Linked DNA regions of Stegostoma tigrinum. The protein of the gene in region 3 interacts with the protein of the main gene of each other region in a pairwise test. Links are inferred from orthologs where the notes say so. Each region holds a gene or a part of one and is shown on either strand. Other genes may lie near its edges. The genes, in order: jade2, cobll1b and pacsin1b.

What was found.
Region 1: the proteins of pacsin1b (region 3) and jade2 interact in a two-hybrid assay, tested with the Homo sapiens proteins (2 studies listed by BioGRID and IntAct). The link is inferred for Stegostoma tigrinum from reciprocal best matches to the Homo sapiens genes PACSIN1 and JADE2.
Region 2: the proteins of pacsin1b (region 3) and cobll1b interact in binary tests that used the Homo sapiens proteins (3 or more experiments, as listed by UniProt). The link is inferred for Stegostoma tigrinum from reciprocal best matches to the Homo sapiens genes PACSIN1 and COBLL1.

Annotation. Positions count from the first base shown.
Region 1 is NC_081366.1:30,389,431-30,397,419, reverse strand, and holds the start of jade2 (protein Jade-1), read right to left. Parts: upstream 4,930-7,989; 5' UTR 4,547-4,929; intron 4,307-4,546; exon of another isoform or gene 4,153-4,306; intron 3,424-4,152; exon of another isoform or gene 3,341-3,423; intron 148-3,340; exon of another isoform or gene 99-147; intron 1-98. UniProt on the Homo sapiens protein: Scaffold subunit of some HBO1 complexes, which have a histone H4 acetyltransferase activity. Acts as an E3 ubiquitin-protein ligase mediating the ubiquitination and subsequent proteasomal degradation of target protein histone demethylase KDM1A.
Region 2 is NC_081360.1:62,967,320-62,975,308, forward strand, and holds the start of cobll1b (cordon-bleu protein-like 1b), read right to left. Parts: upstream 5,330-7,989; 5' UTR 4,943-5,329; intron 4,248-4,942; exon of another isoform or gene 3,772-4,247; intron 3,615-3,771; 5' UTR 3,542-3,614; coding exon 3,492-3,541; intron 1-3,491.
Region 3 is NC_081374.1:38,803,138-38,811,126, forward strand, and holds the start of pacsin1b (protein kinase C and casein kinase substrate in neurons protein 1), read right to left. Parts: upstream 5,386-7,989; 5' UTR 5,156-5,385; intron 1-5,155. Other genes in the region: rps10 (40S ribosomal protein S10), read left to right, coding at 7,317-7,466. UniProt on the Homo sapiens protein: Plays a role in the reorganization of the microtubule cytoskeleton via its interaction with MAPT; this decreases microtubule stability and inhibits MAPT-induced microtubule polymerization.

The DNA.
Region 1 (7,989 bases), on a different chromosome or scaffold from region 3:
TATGCACAGGAAACTAAACAAACATAATTCAATTAATTACTATCACATCGGACTGCTCCACCTGATGGAAGGAGTAAGCAATAGTTCCAACTACTCACCAGTTGCTGACCAGCTAAGTTCTGGACATCATTACAGTCTTGATGCTAACTGTAAGAAAAGTAATAATAGTAACCCATGTCCATCAAGGAAGCATTCAAGCAAATAATATACCAAGAGGTTTGAGCAGAACTGGTAAATAGGGGCTAAAGTCAAATCCCTCGGAGACAAGAAACATGCATTAAAGGAGGGTGGGAAGATGCCTTTAGGACTGCTAAAGTTATTCAAGATGGTAGGCTGTAGGCCACATCATCTGCAGAAGTGTCATCAAAAGGCTTTCCATCACAATGTCAGGAGTAAGGCATGTATCAATGATTCGACAATGTTCTGCTTCATTCATGGCTTCTCCAGGAACAGAACAGCTGATGTCAACCAGTGGCAGGGGCATGCATTACCTGCAAGATGTTACTCACCAGATACCTCCAACAGCATCTTCCGAACCTGCAAGCTCCACCACCTAAAAGAACGAGGGTAGCAAAAGCCTGGCCAGACTACCAGCTGCAAGTTCCTCTCCAAGCCATGTACCATACTGACTCTGAACTATAATCACAATTACTCTAACGTACATGGGTCAAAATCCTGAAACTTCCTTCCTAACAGTACTACTGGTGTCCCCACATCCAAAGGGCTGCTGCAGTTCAAGAAGGCAGTGGCGTCCTTTCTCCTGGGCTCAATATTCATGGCTCCAATACTGGTGGACTATGATTGCAACAAGCACAATCTACAGAATGCACTCTTCAAATCACCAGGATTACTTCCTTCCCTGGTTCACCACAAAGAACAATACCTCATAAGCATTATAACCATATCCAAGATTCCCTCCAACTCACTCACCCTTGTAATTTATATCATAATTGTCACTAAGTCAATGTCCTGGAATTCTCTACCCAACATCATTCAAGGACCACCTACCTACACAGGGAATCAGAGGCAAACTGGTGACTCGATGTGAACTTCTCAATGCTACTAGGAATGAGCACCAAATACAAGAGTACCAGAGTAACCCACATCTGAAGATTAATTCATTCAGAAGCCTGAGCAGTTGTGTAACTAACATTATACAGTGTTGTGTCTGTCGTGATGCCATTGCACATAAAAAGATTAAGTAATCAGTAAACACAGAATTAATTACTAATTTTGAGTATAAGGGTCACTACTACAGTTGATTTACACAAGTTTGATTTAGCTATCTGCTTTGACAATTAATTTTTTAATAATTCTATTTACAGGCTCCTCTGGCAGCAGTGAATTCATCCATAGATTATAATTCCAAAATGGTCCACAGAAAACAAGACTTACTTAAAATCCACAGATTTCCACAGCTGTACACACTTACTATGTGGACTTTCATATCAATCACAAACTCATTATTTGACAGCAAATTATCCTATTTTGTTGCATTTTCCTCTCTCAATCCCCTCCGGTCAAGATTAATTTTGGGCATAAGAGCAGGAAGACTATGCGTTTCATGCCTTCCAATAATATTAGTCTAAAATCCACCACTAGGAGGTGTGCAGAAACCACCCTGGAACAATATTAGGACAGAAATTCACTTACAGGCAGTGAGGTTGAAATGTTGCTGCAGGAGAAGGTAATGTGGTCACAATCTGGGGTGAGAAGGTGAACTTTGCAAGCAACCGCTCATTATTTGAAGATAGCACCTTATATTGAGCTGCACATTACCAAGTGTACTTTTATAAAGCATTTTAGTGGTAACTTGTACTGGTGCTTTAAAAGACCTATTGCTAAGTCTATAAGTAAACCTGATTTTCCAGAGTATTGCCAGCCCAATGCAGGCTGCATTTTGGCAACATAACAATGTCACAAGCAGGCATTAGGCCCTGTATTTGCATAAGGACCTTCTGCTTTCTGCAGGCATGGGCCCTTGACACTTTTTTTTTGCTTTTTCCAGTATCAATTCCCCACAACAACGTAACTGAAATCAGAAAGATCTGCAAAACATCAAACTTGTATTGGACTTGAACTTAAATAGTCCAACACATTATGCCACCATGTCACTTAACACATTATCCAAACATCATCAATCCAATACAATTCATTTCAAATCAAAGCAGGGAGACAAGGACTACAAGCAACGGACAAAAGCGCCCCTTTTAGCCTCCTGCTCATAAACAAATAAAGGACTTTGTAACGAATACAGCAGCTGATTATTATAGACAGCTCATCAATATACAATACTTGCATATCACATCTCAAAGTAGTCTCAGACATAATACTGACCTCTACAGTTTCCACTGCCTTTTAACTCACATGTGGCACAGTTTTTAATGAAAATGTCTTTGCCCTTCACCAAAGCAATGTAGCAAGGGAGGAACACAATACAAAAACCACAAGAACACCAGTTTGCAAGTAATGCACAGCCAAGAGATGTTCAAAGGGGGAGGGGAACCACAGTGCAACTGTCACATTTCCCTCTCCACATTTATATACTTTGTAAAGCAAAAGGTTGACACAAATCCTGAAGCATATTATGACTATAGCAAATAAACTTCAGAAACTTAATTCACTGGCTTAAAACCCAAGTTGTTTGCAAACACAGCTCGTGAAAACACTAAGCTTTCTTATCATAAAGACAAAATGATTAAATTATTTCCAAAAGAATTACAACCACTTCTAATTTTGCCTGTGGGTGATGTAGTGCGAAATATTCAAAACATTTTGCACGTTAGACAATTGATCTTCCTCTTCCAATTAAAAGAAGTGACCTTTCACAGACAAATTGTATTGCGTTGTGACGGTCCTTCTATTCCCTTGGAGTACAATTCAGTTTTGCACGCGAACAATCAGGTTCTCAATCCTTCAACTGGCTTTCACACTGTTCGGGGGGGGGGGGGGGAGAATATTTTCATCACTTATGTTTCACTGCTTGCATATTTTGCAAATTAAGATAATGGAAGTTGTCCAACACGCCCCTCCCCCATAATCAAATTAAAAAGCTGCCAGTATAGAGTGAGTTAATATAGGTCAACGGTCCCTCCTCTTCCTCAGTCTGTGGGTTTGCGCCCAGTGCGTGATGCAGCTACAGGTCAAGTGATTGCCACTCGGCATCAGGCAACCACACGTGTGCATCTGTCATTTGGGGGAGAAAAAAAAGTTGTGCATCCAGCAGAGTTTTTAAAGGGGGGAGGGGGTTGGAAAGAGTTTGGATGGGAATTAGAAAGGGGGATGGGGTTGGGGGAATTAGGCGCTGACCAAGTTTTGATGCGTGCTGTGGAAGTTATACCTGCCTGTAGAATCCAGCAACTTTTTTTCATCTGCCTTTGGCTTTGCCTTCTCTCTGTTCGGTGGGTGGATGTTGTTGTTGTTATTGTTGCTGCTGGAAGCGAGGGGGGGGTTAGTGGAGAAAGGGGGGGGTGAAATTGGACGTGCCACGCCTCCCCCGGTGAACCTGAGCGCAATGAATTCGGGATAAACAACAGCCACTCCCCCTAGAGTCAGCAGCGCAGTTTGCACTCAGGAACCTACATGTACACACAGCGAGAGCATGTATTAAACGTATTATTTTTTTAAAAAACACAGCTCCTACGTTGCAAACGGTAGTCCCAACATACACACACACACAGCGTCCCCAATCACTCCAATTCAAAATGATGTAACTCAATAAAGACGATGCATTTTGTGAAAATAAAACATTTCAATGTTCATCCCACCCCCCCTCACACACAACACTTTACACTCCACCCCCCCACCCAAGAATCTACATCTCTCTCAAAAAAGAAACAGCAAGCACCCCTACCACATCCCTTCCTTCCTTCCTTCCCAGCCTGGGGTGCAAAAATATGTAAACATTTTTTTAAAGAGTCCTGGACTGCAGTAACTGGTTACACGGAACAGCGATATGATATCAGGGGAGAGAGAGGAAAAAAAAGTTAAGCCTTGCACTTCTGGTCCCCAAAATAAGTAGACAGGGAAAAAAATAAGGAAATTTGTATGCGTGGGGTGCAGATCAAACCCACTGTATTCACACCCCCCTCCTTCCAAAAATCCAAACAGTTACTTAGCTCTCTCTACTTAGAAACGATCAATAATAATTACCATGCAATTTTTTTTGCCTGCTTAAGCTTCGGATCTATATGCTTCTTTTTTTGCGGTGACTGTCCTCAGGCCACGATGGTGATGATGGTGTTGTAATGTGAATGCGATGGTGCTGATATATGTTAAAAGCAGCGCAGGAGGAAACGCACATCGATCCAATTGCCCATTAATACATTTAAATCTCTCTCTCTCCCTCCCTCCCTCTGTCTCTGCCCCCTCCCCTTCCCCTTCCCTCCCTCGCTGTTAAAAAAAAACATGCAGTTACACAGGGCTGAGATGGCTGCCAATGAAATGCAATGGGCGCTCTCTCACATACACACAGAGAGACACACACACACATACACACACAGTTTGCAGCTCCGCTGCTCTGTTCTGCTCTCTCTCTCATTCCCACCTTTTCAGATCACTTTAACGCAGTCCTGTTGCGTTTCAGATCCTTTCGCCCCGATCCGGATTTTTTCTCTTTTTTTGTTTTGCAAACTGCATCTTGTGTGGGGTTTCTTTTTCTTTTGCTTTGCTACTTATTTCTCTCTCTCTCTTATCTTCCCCTTCTTGGGTTTTATTTTGTGTGTATGTGCAGTACGATCCCTTTCCGGATAATTTGAATGTTTAAAAAAATAAAAGAGGAGATGAGGGAGGTTGGACCTCAGATCTCAGGACGAGCTAGACTCACTTTGGGAAATTTACCTCCAGAAAAGCCAGGGATTTCTTTTTCTTTTTTTTTGGCACGGGCGTACACGACAGGACCTAGCAACGAAATAGCTCATACTTCAAAATCTTTTGGCGCCATATTAATGACGTACTTAAAATTGCCTCTTGGAAAAAAAGACACGATCTCCCTGCGTCAAAGCCGGCGTCTTTTACTTAAATGTTGCAACGTACCAAAGACAGGGGAAACTCATTAGAGGCGTGCGAAGAGGAGGGGGAGAGCGAGAGATGCACGCCTTTTTTTTGTAAAACATCTTGTTTTGCTCTTATCAAATGTCAGTTTCCTCCCAGCGACTGCATGCAATTTTTCAAAAAAAATATTTAAATTGTCCAGAGGTGTTGCAATGAGAACGCCTTACTCTTCACGGTGGAGATTTTTGACACATGCAAAATTACTGAACATTAAAGTACAGGGTACAATTAGCAGATCTGGAATGTATTGTCCCCACTCTGGAGATTAATCTCCGAGGTCATTTAGGCAGAAGTAAAGTTATCAACCACCTTGCACTGAAGTGCGTCCTTGAGGTCAAATGGCCACTTTCTTTTAAGGAAGGATGTTCCAATTTGTTAAATTTCAAATTTTTGTTAACTCGTCATTGATGCTATTACGTAGTCAAACATATTTCTGAAGATGATGTTATAAACAAGTGAATTGTGCGACCATGAACACTAAAGCTTAGTGCAGGATAACTGCATGGAAATCTAATCATAATTGAGTGGAGAAATAATGTAAATCCATCACGTGTCTCTTTCCTTGTACAAACTCAACAAGTTCCGAAAGTTTTATTGACTGTTTCATTATTTTAAATAGATAGAGTACAGGAAAGATGCAGACAGTGTGACTCCACTGGAGAAACGTGTTTCCTTTACGGACTTCAGTTTATTATCTATCTATTATGTGTACGCAATAATGGTTAGTTCCATTGCTTCATAGTATTCAACAACCTAGAGACTTGTTCGCCCTCAAAGTGAGATGCAGCGTCTCTTTCATTCAAGTGCACTGAGAGAAGCTTCCTTCTATTGTGTGTGAGGCAGTCAAGGATTTTGATTTTAAATGACAGTACGGCCTGGAAAAAGACACTACAATGCTCTTTAGATAATAGTTTTACTACACCGCCGGGTAGTCCCAAATATCTGTGATATGCTGTTTCCAAACTTTCATAGATCTATTCAAGGAAATAAACCACAAGTCTGAATATATATATAAATAATACTACAATAGTCAGAAAACATTTGTTTCTAAATAGTTGTATTGATAGTTGTATGGAAAACATCTGCATCTGCAGATATTCCATATGAAATTTACAAGTTGTGGATTCAGCTTAGTTTAGTTAATGCAAGTCAAATTGTTTTATTTTTTATCAATGTACACACTGTGATTTAACTTTGGTACATTTATCAATATCCTTTAGGATAAAATATAGCATCTGAACCATATCACTCTTTAGCTTGTTGAATTATGTAACAGTATAGCATTCAATTCTAGTCCATTACACCTTAAGTGTCGCCCTGAACCTCTTGTGGCTTGTCTCAAGATTAAGTTCTATCTTGTAAACAAGTTTAAAGATAAGGGCACAGAATATTGAAACCAGCAGCTGCAGTGCCGTTCATTCAGTAGCAGCCTCTCAATTGTCCTCTTCATTTCCCAGTGTTTAAATAGCAAAATTTGACTTTGCAACCTTAAAAGAATATTAACTTACGTGCCTGCGAGAATCGTATATCATGTTTTTATTAAATATAATGCTTCCATCCTTATAAAACATTGTTTTCTCTGACTTTCCGTCAGAACCTTCAGTAACTCATTAGAGAAAATACACCAATAAAAATGATGTGTCTAGTATATACTTTGTCTGTATCACCCAGCAGAATACAAATTCCTCCATAATTCTCATCAGGAACAAAGCAAGTCACTTGCAAAGCTTGTGACATCATAAAATGCCTTTCCATACTAAAGTTCTAAACATCTGCAACTTCTGACTGACTTTGGCGATACACTTACTTAAAAAGGAAAAACATGCAGAATTCTGGCCTGAAGCCTGAAATTTTCAAGAAGCTTACAATTTATAATTTCACTTCCTCAAAATGAAATGGAGTACTAATTAACCTTGCCCTCATACTGACAGAAGTTAAATTGTTTGACTACAAAGGGTCACATAGAAACAAGAGTAGGCCATTTAACTCATGGAGGCTGTTCTGCCATTCAGCTAGATCATGGTTGATCATCAATCTGAATGCCATTTTCCCGCATATCTTCCATAACTCTTGACATCATTCGTCTGCAGAAGTCTATTGCATTTCATATTAAACATGCTCAATGATTGAATTTCCACAATCCTCTAGTTTAGAGGATTCCAAAGTGAAGAAGTTCCTTGTCATTTCAGTTCAAATAGCCTACTATTCATCCTGAGGTGTTGTTACAGGTTTCTTGACTCAGCAGTCCAGGGAAACATTTTATGTACATCCATCCTCCCACTCCCTGTATTTTGCAAATTTCAATGAGATCTCTCCCTATTCTTCAAAGCTTGAGTGAATATAGACCCAATCCCCTCAATCTTTCCTCACAACACACCCCAGAGATTAAGTTGATGCTCCCTTGCACTCCATCTAGAACAAATATATCCCTTCTTAGGAAAAGCAACTAAAATGACACAATGCTTCAAGTGTGAGCTCTATAAAACTGCAACAAGACATCTTTACTGCTTGCACTCAAATCCCCTTTTGATGCTGGTTTACCTGGTGTTCGCCTCCTTAATAGATTTCTGCACCTGCATGTCAAAGTTTAGTGACTCATCAATAAGGAAGCCGAGGTTCCTTTGGACACCCTAATTCCCAACTCCTCAGCATTTAAGAAATATTCTTCTTTTATATTCTTTCTACCAAAGTGAATAGCATCTTGCTTATTCACATTATAAATGCTCTAGTCTATTCACCCAGCCTGTTCATTTTTTCTTGAAACCTCCTTACATCCCTCCTCACAACTGATGATCCCACTGATTTTAGTATCATCAATAAATTTAGAAATATTATGATTGTCCCTCACATCCAAATCATTTTGACAGATTATGAATAGCTGTGAATCTAGCTCTAGTCTTTGTGCTCCAACATAAGTAACAGCCTGCCATTCTGCGA
Region 2 (7,989 bases), on a different chromosome or scaffold from region 3:
TCAAGATAAGTTCAACAAGGGCGTGAAAGGAGATGGAAAAAGAATTAGAGTGGAGGGACCAAAGATAGGTCAAAAGAAGGTTGGCAGTTTATCTTAACAGCAATTTGCAGATGGGAAAAGCAGAAGTAACAAAAAGAATATTTTCAGTCATTGTAACAAAGCTATCTATTAAGTCCTCACATTTATTAGAGGAAAACCTGAAAGAGGCAACGGAGAGGGTTTTAGGAGATGGCTGGCAGCAAAAGAAAAGTTTACTATTGACTCTCTAAGGAGGACAATTTCGGCAAAACGGAACTTGATACGGACCAGCTAGGTCTGGTGGTGGCTAGTTAAAATAGTTGAGCACTGAATTATTGTCCCTTGTCGTTGAAGCAAATGATAGTCATTCCAAAGGCAACAACCAGATGAAAGTAAAGGTACACAGCAGGCCAGGCAGCATTAGAGAAGCAGGAAAGTCAAAGGGTCCCAAGCCTGGCCTACTGAGTACCGCCAACTCCATACTGTTATCTTTGACTCCAGTATCTGCAGTTCTTGCTATCTTTGAACCAGATGGAAGTGAACATGTTTTAATTGGGAATAAGATCAAAGGCAAATGTAGAAAATATTTAGCAAATCAGCAGCTATACAACTTTTTACAAAATGTGTTAATGGGATTTGTGCACCAATGGTAAGCCAGGACTTTTGTCTATTACAAATTGCCCTCAAAATGGCTGTGGTGAGTTGCCCTCTTGACAACAGAAGTCATGAGGTTGTAGGTATGCCCCCTATTCAATTACAAGGGGAGTTCCAGGATATTGACTCCACAACAGTCAAAGTGCAGTAAAATAGCTCCAAAGCAATATGTGTGTTTGAGAGAAGGTTTTAAGTAGCAATATTCCCATGCATTTATTGCCACTGTTCTCCTAAGAAGTGGAGTTTATAGCTTAGAAGGTGCTGTCTAAGACTCAGTGAGTTTCTGCAGTGTATCATACAGATGGCACAAACTGCTCCACTCCATGCTTATGGCAAAGAAAGTGAATGTTCAGGGTGGCAGACAAGGGAGACCAATAAACAGTGCTTCTTTTTCTTGCTAGACAGTGTTGGATTTCTTCAGTATTATACAATCTCAACAATCCAAATAAGTACAGGGCATTCCATAACACTCCTTTCTTGTGAATTAACTCACCGCAACATTCAGAATCATTGCCCTGCTTTTGCAGCTGTATTACTTATACAGCTAGTCCAGTTCTTGTTCTAGTCAATGGAACCCCCAACATACTATTAATGTTGATAGTATGGATTCAGTGTAATATGTAATTTATTGTCATACAGTCTGTTTCCATGATGAATGATTCTTCGGTCCAACCAGTCCATGCTGACCATAATCCCAAAATAAACTCATCCCACCTGCCTGTGTTTGACCCATATCTGCCCAAACATTTCTTATTCATGTGCCTATCTAAATGTCTTTTAAATGTTATAACTGTATCCACATCCACCACTTCATCTGGAAGGTCATTCCACACATAAATCACTGTGTGTTAAAAATCTGCCCCTCATGTCCGTTTATAAAATCTTTCGCTTCTCACCTTATAAATATGACCTCTAGCCTTACTGTTCCACTCCTGGGAAAAGACAACTGCCATTCACCTTATCTATGCCCTTCATGATTTTATAAACCCCTACAAAGTGTACCCTCAACGTCCTACACTCCAGTGAAAAAAAGTCCCAGCCTATTCAGCGTCTCCTTATAACTGAATCCTGCCATTCCCAGCAAAATCCTGGTAAATCCCCTCTGAACCCTCTCCAGCTTAATGACATCCTTCCTGTAACAGGGTAGCAAGAACTGGGCATAGTACTCCAGATGTCCCACTAACATGTTGTACAGCCTCAACATAACGCCCCAACTCCTTTACTCAAACAGAGATGGTCAATGACTGGTACTTGTGGGAAGTCACATAAGTGCCACGCATCAGCCCAAGCCTGATGTAATCCAGGTTTTAATGCACATGGATATGGGTTACTGTATGGTAATAACAAGAGGCAAATGAGTTTGAATACTGTGCCGTGAACATGTCCAATTCTGACCTTGGATAAGGGAAGGTAATTGATGAAGAAACCGAAGAGGGTGCAGGGAAAGCAACTCATATTCCACTTGGGAACCCTGTAGCCCAATGGTATCAATGTGGATTTCACAAGCTTCAACATCTCCCCTCCTCCCACTGCATCCCAACCCCAGCCCAGCTCGTCCCCACCTCCCTAACCCATTCATCCTCTCACCTATCGCCTCCTCCCGCCTCAAGCCGCACCTCCATTTCCTACCTACTAACCTCATCCTGCCCCCGTGACCTGTCCATCCTCCCTGGACTGACCAATCCCTTCCCTACCTCCCCAACTACACTCACCTCTATTGACTCCATCCCTGTCATTTTAACTTGTCTGTCTCCTCTCCCCTATCCATCTTCGATCCGCCTCACCCCCTCTCCCTCTCCCACTTTTCTAATGAAGGGTCTAGGCTCGAAATATCAGCTTTTGTGCTCCTAAGATGCTGGTTGGCCAGCTGTGTTCATCCAGCTTCACACTTTGTTATCTCAGATTCTCCAGCATCTGCAGTTCCCATTATCCAAGAAATTGAAGACGGCTGGTCACAGGGCACTCACCTGAGGAACTCCCACTGTCACGTCCTGTGAAAGAGTATTAACCTGCAATAACAACAACCATCTTCCTTTGTACTAGCAATAACTTTCAACATTTTTTGAAACCAGGACTCATACTTGACATCCAATTCTTGGGTGCAATTTTTGCAGAATTGTGAGAAATTATAGCAAATGCCTTTGCTGTTTTTGCTTCACTTTCTCTTAGCAGTTATAAATCATCGGGATTTTGTCATTTATCCACACGAAAAGAAAGACTTACATATATGTGGCCTTTTTATGACCTCAAGGCACCTAACATTTTACACCTAATTAAGAACTTTTGAGGTGTAATTAGCCTTTCAATGTCATATTAAATGGATAATTTATTTAATAACATTTCTTAAATGATAGCCTACGTTACCATGCTAAACCTAACTCTTGTGGGTTGACTTTTCCAAAGTTTTTCTATCCCCCAATCACTGAAGCCCAACATTAAGCAAACATTCCGTATCTTTTGCCATTATCACAATTTCTCTGCAAGTCTGTCACGTTCTCTTTTACTGTTTCTACTTCGACGTGTGCCTATAGAAACTCTGGTCTTGCCTTCTATGAGTTGCTGATTTTCTTGCGTCTCTCTTTCTCAGATGGAATCGCCCTTTTTTTGTGATATGCCCCTGCTCTGCGAAGGAGTTATGGAACCAGGCGGCTTCAGTGAGTAAGCCATGTTTTCTAGTGCTTCCATGAGACAAATTGTAAATAGAAAGGAGACGTTATTTGCATTATCTCTTCGTGTGGAGGCCAAAATCTTCAAAAGGGGCAGTAATTTCATGACAGCTAAACTTGATGAATGTAAATGAAATTAGATGCAATACTCACCCTGAAGAAGGCAGAGTTGCAGTCCCAGACTCTGATACTTGCATTTCCATCGTTCTCAGTTTTTACAACAGTTCTCTTCTAACTTTCTCGTCAGCTGACTCCTTTTTGCCTTTCCTCGTTCGACTGTAAAGTAACAGCAAGAACCGAAGCAACGTTGAAGACAAAGCGATGTGAAAATGATTTCGGGTATTCGCGGCGTAGGACACTGCAGAAAGCTGGATTTGATCAACGCCAATGTGCGTGGATTTCCCCTTTCCCCTCCTCCTCCTCCTCCACAAACCTTAAAATGTGCAGGATTTGGTTCGCGATTTCGCGAACCTCTCTATTTCTCTCCCCTTCTCTGTGAGGGTTATGATCCAGCCCAGCTTTTGCCCAGTCTCCAGCGTAAACGGCTCAACTTAAGCGCGGCGCCGATCGCTCCCGCTCTACTTTCGCAAACACAAACATTTTCAAGCTATGACATGTGTGAGAACTTGCCCTCTCCACATCAAACTTTCCACGCTGTGTGTCTGCTCGATCCCGGACACGGCGGTTTCAACATACCCCTCCCCCACTGTCCTGCTTCCTCAGCACTCGGTTTCGCATAGATTGGACCCAATTGCACACCAGCACCCAACTCTTTAGCAAAGTGCTATTTGCGTACAACTACACACAAGTGGTTTTGTTTCCCTGGTTTAAGCTTCTGTTGGCTTGAGCTGCGCATCTCAATTCTTGCCACTAGGATGCGAGAGCTATCGTGCCAGGATTGAAGGTTCCACCTGCAATTAAAGCAGAACCGAACCCTGCCAGATTTTCAGTATATTGATCTTTAAAAAAAAATGTACGTCCCAGGCAACGATCCGTCCGAGCCTTTATTTATTTTCCCACTCTGTCCAGCCATCTTGCCAAACATGTCGAAATGCCTGTTTTGCGTTTTGATTTACATTTGATCGCAAGTCCCAACATTTTCACTTGGAATTCAAACGCATTTTTTTTAGTGCAACTAGGCTTTTGCGACCAACACCTTTTAACCTTTTCTACAGACCAACCGAGGTTGTTCAGCAGCTGTGTGGTGTGGGAAGACACATCGGTACTCTACCTATCCCTAAACCGGGAGGCCTAGGTTCGAGCCCCACCTGTTCCAAAGGTGCGTAATAACATCTCTTAGAAACAATGGGTTAACAGCACAGTTCGTGGGGATTCATGCAGTGCGGTGGCAGTGTCCCTGCCTTTGAGTTGGGAGGCTCAGGTTCAAGGCCCAGAAGTGTTATAACGTTTCTGAACAAGTTGATTAGGAAAAATAATAGGATAAATGGACAATTTCACTGATACCCTAGTGGCACCCTTAACATTTAAGAACTTTTAAAACAAATTGGACTTTGGTCTCGTTTTATATTGTTAACGTTTGACGTTAAAAGAAGTGTAAGAACTCTAAACAATTCCTTACAGTACTGTAATTTTTATTTCCTCACCATTGCTTAACTTTGAGCGAAAATGAACACTGGCCACACACGGTTGTTGCTTCGTAGGAAGGTAGACATCTAGTGAAGTTATCAACGCTGCAATCTGGTGTGACTCGACTCACGGAAATTTGGGAAGACCCGACTTCTGTTCACTCCCAGCTGCGCTTTATCGAAGTTGGGGGAGAAAGGTGTCCAGCGTGTTTAAACACCTGCATTTCTCTGCATTTTCCTTTATCTAGCCACTCCTTCTTTTGAAAGAATGTGCTTCTCTTGTGAATGCGATCATTTGATACAGTGCGAGTTCTTTCAACTAGTCAGTTTCTGCAGTTTGACCTATGAAAACTGATTAGTTAGGCTCAGATTTCCTAAGAATTCACCGGGAGTTTGAACAGCAGGAAGTTGTTCACGGAGTCGTGACACATAACCCCGCTTGGATTTCGTGTTAACGAAGAAAAAGTTTATTTTCAATTGATTACTGAATTAGTTGAAGTCACAATATTTCCGACGAGACCTTACTGCGAAATAGCAATTTGATATAATTTTGAAGTTTTTTTTTGCTCTGTTGTCAAACACATTACTAAAGACTACTCCGCCCAAAACTAATCCCTTGATACTACGGCCTCCCGATGCCGCAGCAATTCTATCCGTTTGGGACGCGTACTTTTCTGATCTTAATCTCTACCTCGTGGCAGAAGCGTGTAACTGCAGCTATGGCCGTGTCTGTCACCTGCAGATAGAAGTAATTCCAAGGTGAGGGCCAAACCATGAGAGATTCAGTGACATGTTGATGTATTGGTTGGGGAGTCGGTGGTGTAGCAGTAATATCGCCCGACTAGCAATCCAGAAGCCCAAGGTGATAAAATGGATAAAGTTGTGGAGTTTAAATGTAATTGCTAGACCTGGAATGTAAATCAAGTCTCAATAATGCTGACCTTGAAACGGTGATGAACTATTATAAAAGCCCACTCGGTTTACTAATGATCTTTAGTGAAGAAAATCAGCTAATTTTACCCAGTCTGGGCATGTAAGACTCCAGACATACAGTAATGTGGTAGAATGTAGTTAGCACTGAGGGTAGTTAGCCCTCTAAAACAATAAGCCACTTAGTTTATATGACACTTAGGAATTGGCCACAAATGTTGTCCTGGCTAGTGGCATCTACACAGAATAAAGTTCTTAGAAGGTATGTGAAAGCATTGGTGAGCACAGAAGATATTTACATTAATGGTTCCAGTGATGAAGAATCTTCAACTATAATGACAGATCGGAGAGGGTGGGTTTGTTCTGTTTTCACAGAAGAAGGCTAAGAGATCTGATACGTGTTTTCAAAATAATGGGGGATCAGATAGAGACAAATTGTTCCCACTTGTAAAAGATCAAGAGAGCTAGTGCAGACATGAAGGGCTGAATAGTCTTCTACACCATAGCACTTATGTGGTAATGTGACATGTAATGGGTGCAAAGTTCAAATATGTGTAGATTGGAGATCATGTATAGACATGCTTGGTGCTTTGCATGGGTCACATAATCGTGCCAGCCATTGCTCACATGACAACCTATTACTGCAAAGGACATTGATGGGCATCCCCAATGCCCAATGGAAACCTCTCCAGTGATGAGGTCAAGGTGTCACTCAGCTCTATTTATGATTTTGTCGCATGCAGATCCTTTCAGTACACTTACTTATTACATAGCAAAATCGTGCTTTTGGGCCTAGCAGTAGTGATACTTAAAGTTCCAAGTTTCCAATTTACAGGTAAGATAAATCATTATATTGGTGGCTGTTGAAAACTTTGCAAGTGCGCAGGAATGTTTTTAGAATTGATTTGGTGAGTTCCTACAATTGACAGAAAGTGTTACTTTACTGTAGGGCAAAGAGCTTAGTCACCTGCTCATTCAAAGGCTGTTACATAACATGGGGATACAGTTCCAATGTCATTTGAAGTCAGTTCAATGGCATCTGATGGAGGAGACAGCATTCTGAAGGTAATCTGAAGTTAAGTGTTGATTCATCATGACAGGAGGTTTAGCCCTATACGTCTCAGTGTACATCCTCATTAGCACTCGCCTCTATGTTACTATCTAAAAGGCCTCATTTGACCCTCCTGTAGCAGATTTCAGTCGTGACCGTGACCTTCAGTTAGAGTTGACAAAAACACTATCCTTTTCCTTAGCCTGGCTGTGGCCCAGTTGTGCCTGACTCACCAAATGCAAATCCCTACTCTTTACTTGTATCCAAGATACATGCAATGCCACATCTGATAGTGGCTTTATGATTCAGAACAAATGCTGATGTTTCTTTCCTGTGCTGTTTCTTTTTTCTGAGTCGTTATGGCTGGGCTGTTGCAGGTTTTGGATATTTAAGAGCAAGAAATCAAAAAAGCAATCTGAACAGCTAGAGATAAATGAAACAGAGATTTCAATGTGGGGATGACGTTATTGGAATATATATGAGGGTGAGGAAAAGTATCTCGAAATCACGTCTGTGTCTTAAGTGTAGGAATTGCTGATCAGTGAGTGCTGGGGATGTAGTACCTTAAGCAACACAACAGATTGGTGAAGCATTGGGTGCAGAATTCTTAGGAAGATCCTTGACTACCCTCATGAAGTCATTAAACCTCCTTTTGCATTGATGTGAATTCATTGGGGGCTAAACTCTGAGAAATAACCTTGCCAGTTACCTGCACCCATTCCTCTTTGAGGGTGATTGTTGAGCGGCTTGTAGCCTCTGCAGAAATATGGGCTGTCTCTTCCCATTTATTTCCTCAACTGAGGCCCCCAGCACTACCTGTGAGTGTCTCCCTGTACTGCTGTTTAGTTTCCTTGTTCAGAATTGCAGTACTGGTATCTAATGTCAAAGACCAGTGTACGGTCAGAGAAGGCTATCTATGGAGGTTGCTGCTGCTCTCTGCACTCTTGTTGAATTTGTCTCCCCATCCAATCCAAATTCCGGTCATAGTTCTTCAGCTACTGGTGGAGATGTTGAAGAGAATTTTTGGAACAATATTCCATGTGTTGGACAGTAGGAAGACTACAGTTGGTGTTGGTCAAATACA
Region 3 (7,989 bases):
GAATGTCTTATCGTGGGAGCAGATGCGGTGGAGGCGGAAGAATTGGGAATAAGGGATGGAATTTTTGCAGGAGGGTGGGTGGGAGGAGGTGTATTCTAGGTAGCTGTGGGAGTCGGTGGGCTTGAAATGGACATCAGTTACAAGCTGGTTGCCTGAGATGGAGACTGAGAGGTCCAGGAAGGTGAGAGATGTGCTGGAGATGGCCCAGGTGAACTGAAGGTTGGGGTGGAAGGTGTTGGTGAAGTGGGTGAACTGTTCGAGCTCCTCTGGGGAGCAAGAGGCGGCGCCGATACAGTCATCACTTGCTACACTTGCCCCCACACCTCCTCCCTCACCCCTATCCCAGGCCCCAAGATGACATTCCACATTAAGCAGAGGTTCACCTGCACATCTGCCAGTGTGGTATACTGCATCCACTGTACCCGGTGTGGCTTCCTCTACATTGGGGAAACCAAGCTGAGACTTGGAGACCGCTTTGCAGAACACCTCCACTCAGTTCGCAAAAAACAACTACACCTCCCAGTCGCAAACCATTTTCGCTCCCCCTCCCATTCTTTAGATGACATGTCCACCATGGGCCTCCTGCAGTGCCACAATGATGCCACCCGAAGGTTGCAGGAACAACAACTCATATTCCGCCTGGGAACCCTGCAGCCTAATGGTATCAATGTGGACTTGACCAGTTTCAAAAACTCCCCTTCCCCACCTGCATCCCTAAACCAGCCCAGTTCGTCCCCTCCCCCCACTGCATCCCAAAACCAGTCCAACCTGTCTCTGCCTCCCTAATCTGTTCTTCCTCTCACCCATCCCTTCCTCCCACCCCAAGCCGCACCCCCATCTACCTACTATACTTATCCCACCTCCTTGACCTGTCCGTCTTCCCTGGACTGACTTATCCCCTCCCTACGTCCCCACCTATCTTCGGTCCGCCTCCCCACCCCCCCCCCCCCCCATTTATTCCAGAACCCTCACCCCCATCCCCCTCTCTGATGAAGGGTCTAGGCCCGAAACGTCAGCTTTTGTGCTTCTGAGATGCTGCTTGGCCAGCTGTGTTCATCCAGCCTCACATTTTATTATCTTGGATTCTCCAGCATCTGCAGTTCCCATTATCTCTGCTACTGGTATTCACTGCTTTGTGAAACATATCCATTCAGTTTGTATGCACGACCTCAATCTTTTGGTTGCTTGTCATTTTAACCCACCTTGTTCCTGCTCTGATCCTTTTTCGAATCCTGTTACAGTGAGGCTCAATGCAAGTTTGAAGGGGAACTCTTTAGCCTTTGATTCAGTATTCCATTGCCTTCTGGACTGATCGTCAAGTTCGACAATCTGCCTTCATCTGGTTCTTCGTGCTCTTTCCTTTTTTGTTTTGTTTTATTGTTCAGTCTTAGCTTGTTTCTTTCTTTATCCCTTCATGTTGTATTCAAAATATCTACCACAGCCATTCGAGCCTCATCTGGACAAAACTTTTTTCTTCTGTAATATATCCATTACCACTTTCTTTGACTGTTGCATCATGAAAACTTTTGATATTTATTTGTTTTTTTTTAACACTATTACAGTCCTTCCCTTTGTTACTCCTGCCTCTTCCCCACTCCCATTGTTTTTAAAATTATTATATTTCTATCTTTGTTTCCAATGATGAATCATTATGACCTGAAATATTAGATCTGTTTCCCTCCACAGATGATGCCTGTCCTGCTGAATGTTTTCAGCACTTGTGTTTTTATTTCAGCTCTCAGTGTTTGGAATATTTTGCTATCTAGCAGGATCACATCAATATTTTTTCTCATAACACAAATTTCTAATGATTCTAATGTCAACCATGCAGTACAGACAGGAAAGCCTACAATCAGGTTATTTATCTATCCTTTGGGCAAGGAGTGATGTGGGCATAGAAGGAAAAAAAGGTTCATTTCAGTAACTATACCAGGAGAAAAGAATCAATTATGTCAGGCAGTTTTAATCAGGCTCTGCATCTCTATTTTAAATTTGTGGCTCTTCATGTCATATTGTTGTCCAATCAGAAAAAGGGCCATTACAAATCCAAAGTCAGTGAAATGTTTGACAGCAATTCAATTAAAACATTCCAATGACACTATATTCCATAACCTGAAGCTTAAACATATTATTGTTAACAATATTCTTGCATGTGGAGCGCAATTAATCGATTTCTTTTAAGTAAACAGCATTGACAGTAATCAGCAATAATGATCTTTATTAAAAAGTACTCAAGAGAACAAAATGGCACAAGATATTGGACTATTAAAAAGGAGAATTATGTAAGAGATTCCATAAGTTATTGGCAGGGATAATCGGTCATATCATTGCACAAGACAGATTGTTTTCATTAATGGGATTCTACCCAGTGTTCTGGAGATCACATTGAACGGCAATTGCATTTATCAAGCTCCCATAACAAGTATCAATGTGCCACAAGGAAAAGCTGACATTTTCTCTCCAATAAACACCCTTGGTTATCAGGTCAGGGTGGGTAATGCTGGCATAATCACTGCACTATAAATAGAGCACTGCAAACCAATGAATTCTACAACTGATCACTACAAAGAATTTAAAACAATTTGTTCAGAAACATTAAATTAACATCTGTTGGTTTAAAATTTGCACCACCTTTCATAGCTATCAAAGCCTAATCATGCATGACTATAAATAGAAAGGCACTGTCACAGTCAATATGTGATATTTATTCAACTGCAAATGTTTTCACTGGTGACTTCTTTCATTCTGCTCTTCCTTCATACAAAAAGAAAGCTCTTGTCTTTGTTTGCAGGTGCTAATGATGTATGGCATTATCTGAGGAAGATTCCTGAAGATATGTGTTCAATCTCACCCTTGTCAGCACCTGCATGGATACTGGCATCCCATGTATGTTACATTCTCGACAAGGGGAAGGTCTTCACATATTAAAATCACTGGCCAAAGCGTGAAGGGTGCCATTGGTATAGTTCACCAGAAAGAGAGATTGTATTTTAGCCTAGCTACATCATGAACTCATTTGCCAATGAGATTATCACCAATCCAAAAATAAGTGCAGTTCCATCAACTCCCAGGAGATCCAGGTTGCTGTGTGCCTGCTGCTGCCTGGAGAGTGGGCCAAGCAGTTCAGGTCAGAGTGCTCAAAGATGGTGACCAAGTACACCAGCTCCAAGTGAAACACCTCATTGCACTGAAAAATAAAGGGCTCAAAATGAAGCAATCAGTGAATTCTGAGGAACTTAGTCCAGGAAATTCTAGTTGCACTATGCAGTCTGCCAGCAAACTGGTGCACAAGGTCACAGTATACCGAAAAGTCATGCTCCAATCCATGTTATGTCTTTGCACAGAATGGAGAGTATTCTATCCAATATGGACAAAGTGCAAAGTCCATCAACTAGACACTGCTGCCCACCATCAAGGAATCTCTCCTGACAGCTCACAGTTGCACTGAAAGCTCACTTCTTCCTATCCAAATGGTGGTAAAGACAGATTACGGCAAAGTTACGCAACACGCAGCAGATAACTCTAATCTGGATACCCACTCAGGGATAATGCACAGGTCCTTCTAAATCGTCTGTGAAAACATTGTTTGAGCAGGTTGACTGCTTGGTCGTTAACATATTAAAGGAGTAAAATCTCTTTCATATGATACAACTGCTGGACAGGTAATGGGGGGCTGTAATGCAGATGAAACCTAGCACTCCCTCATACTCATTTTTCTACTCCAGGAGAAGAAAATATAAGTGTTTTCCCTGGTCTAGTGACCTCAGTTACCTTCCTGAACAGCGGTGAATGGCAACTTTAGGATTTGTTGTTTATGTCGTCTACTGCAATTGGAAAGGAGTCAATGGCATAAAAAGGGTGATGATCACCTTGGCAGACATAGGCAATGCTGCTCATGTATAGCTGAAATTATGACTGCAGCAAATGTTGTAACACACTGATAGCCTCCTCTGTTAACCAACAGCATCCCGCACATTGGTCCTCAATCTACCCAAGACAGAAGCTCTCTGAATACTTAGATAATAAAGTGTGAAGCTGGATGAACACAGCAGGCCAAGCAGCATCTCAGGAGCACAAAAGCTGACGTTTCAGGCCTAGACCCTTCATCAGAGAGGGGGATGGGGTGAGGGTTCTGGAATAAATAGGGAGAGAGGAGGAGGTGGACCGAAGATGGAGAGAAAAGTGTAGATGGGGAGGTTGGGAGGGGATAGATCAAGGAGGTGGGATGAGGTTAGTAGGTAGGGGTGGGGTGGGAGGAAGGGATGGGTGAGAGGAAGAACAGGTTAGGGAGGCAGAGACAGGATGTGCTGGTTTTGGGATGCAGTGGGGGGAGGGGAAGAGCTAGGCTGGTTGTGTGGTGCAGTGGGGGGAGGGGGCGAACTGGGCTTGTTTTGGGATGCAGTGGGGGAAGGGGAGATTTTGAAGCTGGTGAAGTCCACATTGATACCATTGGGCTGCAGGGTGCCCAAGTGGAATATGAGTTGCTGTTCCTGCAACCTTTGCATGGCATCATTGTGGCACTGCAGGAGGCCCATGATGGACATGTCATCTAAAGAACAGGAGGGCAGTGACAAGTGCCTCACTCTTCCTCCTCATGGCCTACAGCATCAAAAGGTGGAGGAAGAATCCAACTGAATAAATCAATAGCTACAGACACCAAAAAGGTAGACAGTTGGGATTCTGGGCAGGTGCAAGTGCAACAAGGGATAGATTTTTCCTCAGCATCTATAGAAGGTAGGATTGGGATGTGAAAGGGGTTGAGGTTAGCAAGTGACACAATGAAATAAATCAGAAATGGCTGAAACTGTTAGTGAAAATAAGCCAATTAGGTAACGTGAACAAATTATGTTAAATATCAGCATCAGCCACATGAATCAGACTTTCAAGTTTCTTCATGTGAATTATTCATTGGATTGGGAGGGGGAAAGCAGGGTTGCAGCTCTATATAATTAGATTGCAGTTCTGAAAGCAAGCAACATGAAAGATTAGTCTTCTTGCTGTATTTTCAACATTTCAGTTAGATTCCCATTTGAGCCTATATTTGTGCAGAAATATTCCCAGCATCCTACTATTTTGCAGAAATTTTCCCACTATATTTCCATTTGAGCTTATATTTGTGCATAAATATTCCCAGCATTTTCTAAGCGCCACTCACTGTCCTGGTGCTGCTCCAACAACATCCACCGAGAACTACAATTCCCAGGAGGCACGACTGCCCGAAACACCATCACTGCGCCCAAATGAAGTACTGTAATCGGGGATAAAAGTCTCCATGTTGGCCACAACACTGCAGCTCAGTAGTACCCCTGTGCAGAAGCACACACCAATCGTTCCCTTACCGCCACAACCACAACCGTTCCTTTAAATCAACGGTACTAACGGCTGACCCTCGAGACCCAGTTGGCCAACGCGCCCAATCTTTTATACCGATCGGGACAAAATACAATTTGCATTTATTAAGTATAATTTTTTTTAAAAATATCAAACTCGGCTATTCCTTCTAATTATTCGAGGATTTATTTAAGTCAGGGCAGCTAGCGCAGATTGCAATATTAAGGACCCTCGCCGAAGGAGGAAGAGGCTCCGAGTGCGCATGCTCGGTCTTTTCCGGCTTCAGCCCCATTATTAGAGTTCAAGGTATGTGAAGAAAGGCTGTCCAAAATCCTTAAATATCTCTAACATCCCGCTGGGGTGAACTTTCAAGACCTCAATGGTGGTTGACACGCGTCATCTGTATTTATTCACTCACTCATTTCTATAATTTCATAAGTATTTATTGAATAGTTTATAAAATACCTCCCAGTTGCTGCTGCAGTCTTGGTGATATAGAGAGGGTAGGCCTCAGGCTCTGTTAATTGACTGAATAAAAGTTACAGGAAGTTGTTTCTCTAGGATGTTGTGTAGTTTTAAAGGTGTCTGTTTTGTGCCGTTATAGTTAGTATTAAGTTAATATTTTATGCAAGCTTTCTGGTTTCCCCGAGGTGAAAGTGTTCCTCTTATACCGCTGTTTCAAAGATGAGTTCCTGTAATAGATGTTTGAGCGTAATATCGACGATACACATGGTGGAAAGGCACTGATGTTAAGAAGAAAACGCGATTAAGAGGAAGTTTACTGATTTCAGACCTGGAATTAGCAGTTTGTCTACTGAGGAACTTTGGACACGCTGAAATTATATCAACTAGAATTCAAGAGAGCAGAGGGTGATTTGATTCAAGCCTGTAGATCCTCAAGGGTCTTGACAAGGTGGAAAGAGAAAGGGTGGGTGATTCGGGAATGAGGGGACACTTTTAAAGTTAGGGTCATGTTCTTTACAGCAAGTAAGGGGAATTTTTTTACAGTGGATCTGTGATGGAATATTCTGCCTCAGGAAGTTGGAATTGTTGAAAATAATGATCAATCCACTGTCACTCTTATTAAGGAATAATAAAAGATAGAATTGTGGAATTTGGAATGCAGATCAGCTGTGAGCTTATTAATTGGCAATGCAGATTTGAAGGGCTGGCTGACCTACTTCTAAATTGTATGCTTGGAGTCGCTTTCTGAAGCTGCCTCTTGAGTAGCTTAAGTGTGATATTTCAAAAATGATTGTATTTTATCTTCAGATGTAACTAACAGAAATACATCTAAAGATAAGAACAATCTTTTGATTAATTTACTTTGTTTCAGCTTCATTATGAAACTGTTGGTTTGAAAGCTGTTTTCATCAGCAGTTTAGGTTGTGCCTCAACACTGGGCCTTTGGGCAGAGAGACTACCAAATTGTGGGAGGTCACATGTTCAATACAGAACCCAGGCTCCTGATCTGGGCTGGCCCCTTAAGAAGCCAAGCATATGCCCTACGCTGTCTCTAGCTGCCTTTACTGTTGACGTTCCTACAGAGATTGACATGTAGGTGTTGAAGAAAGACAACTTTGAAGAGGCATTTCACAATACGGACACCTTATGGTGGAATTTTGAAAGGGACAGGGAGGAGGGAGTCTAACTAGGACACTGAATTTTGTAAATCTTGTCTCTAATCAGTAATGACTAAATTTATAATTAGTAATAAGCCCCTTGTTGCTATTTCATTTTCTTAAAACAAACTTCAGAATTGTTCTATAGGCTGTCAGATGGAGGTTGTTATAAACAGGAGGGACTGAGTGTTCCAGGCCACAGATACTGTCAGCGTACTTCTGGATTACTCTTAACCAAAAATATAAGATAAATGTTGTAGTGAACGTGTGCATATTGGAAGAGAATCACCTAATATTAGGTTATGACCAAACTAGATCTTGTGAAATTCCAATGTTGAAGTCCCCTATTCTGTTTTATTTCAGATGCTGATGCCTAAGAAGAATCGTATTGCTATCTATGAGCTCCTCTTCAAGGAGGGGGTAATGGTAGCCAAGAAGGATGTGCATATGCCAAAACATCCAGAACTGGCAGACAAAAATGTCCCAAACCTGCACGTAATGAAAGCCATGCAGGTATCATATTTAAATAACTATGATTTATAAACAGTCTATAAATTTCGAAGAAACTTCATATCAACGTTATGAAACAAATTTGACACTGGCCTTTAGTTGATGAAATGGTAAGGCAGATGGCCAAAAACGTGTTTAGGGAGATAATGTTTAAAGGTGAATATTAAAAATGGAAAGTAAGCAGTATTGGGTGTGTGAAGGGTGTTTCAGAGTTTAGGATCTTGGCAGCTCAATACATGATCACTAATGGTGGAGAGACGGTAAGATTGGTCAGCATTCGAGAGTTGCAGTTGTCTCGCTGTTATAGATCTGGAGACCACAAAGATAGAGAGGGCTGCCGTCGATCAGAATGAAAGACAGGCCTCATTTTTACATACAGCTTCGGTCAGAAGTGCTGTGGGGTGATCCAACTTCCTGAAATCCCTGACATCACTGATGGGGGTCTTCAGCCAATTTGGTTCACTTCTTATGATATCAAGAAGGAGCTGAAAGCACTGCACGCCACTAAGGCTTTGGGCTCTGACAG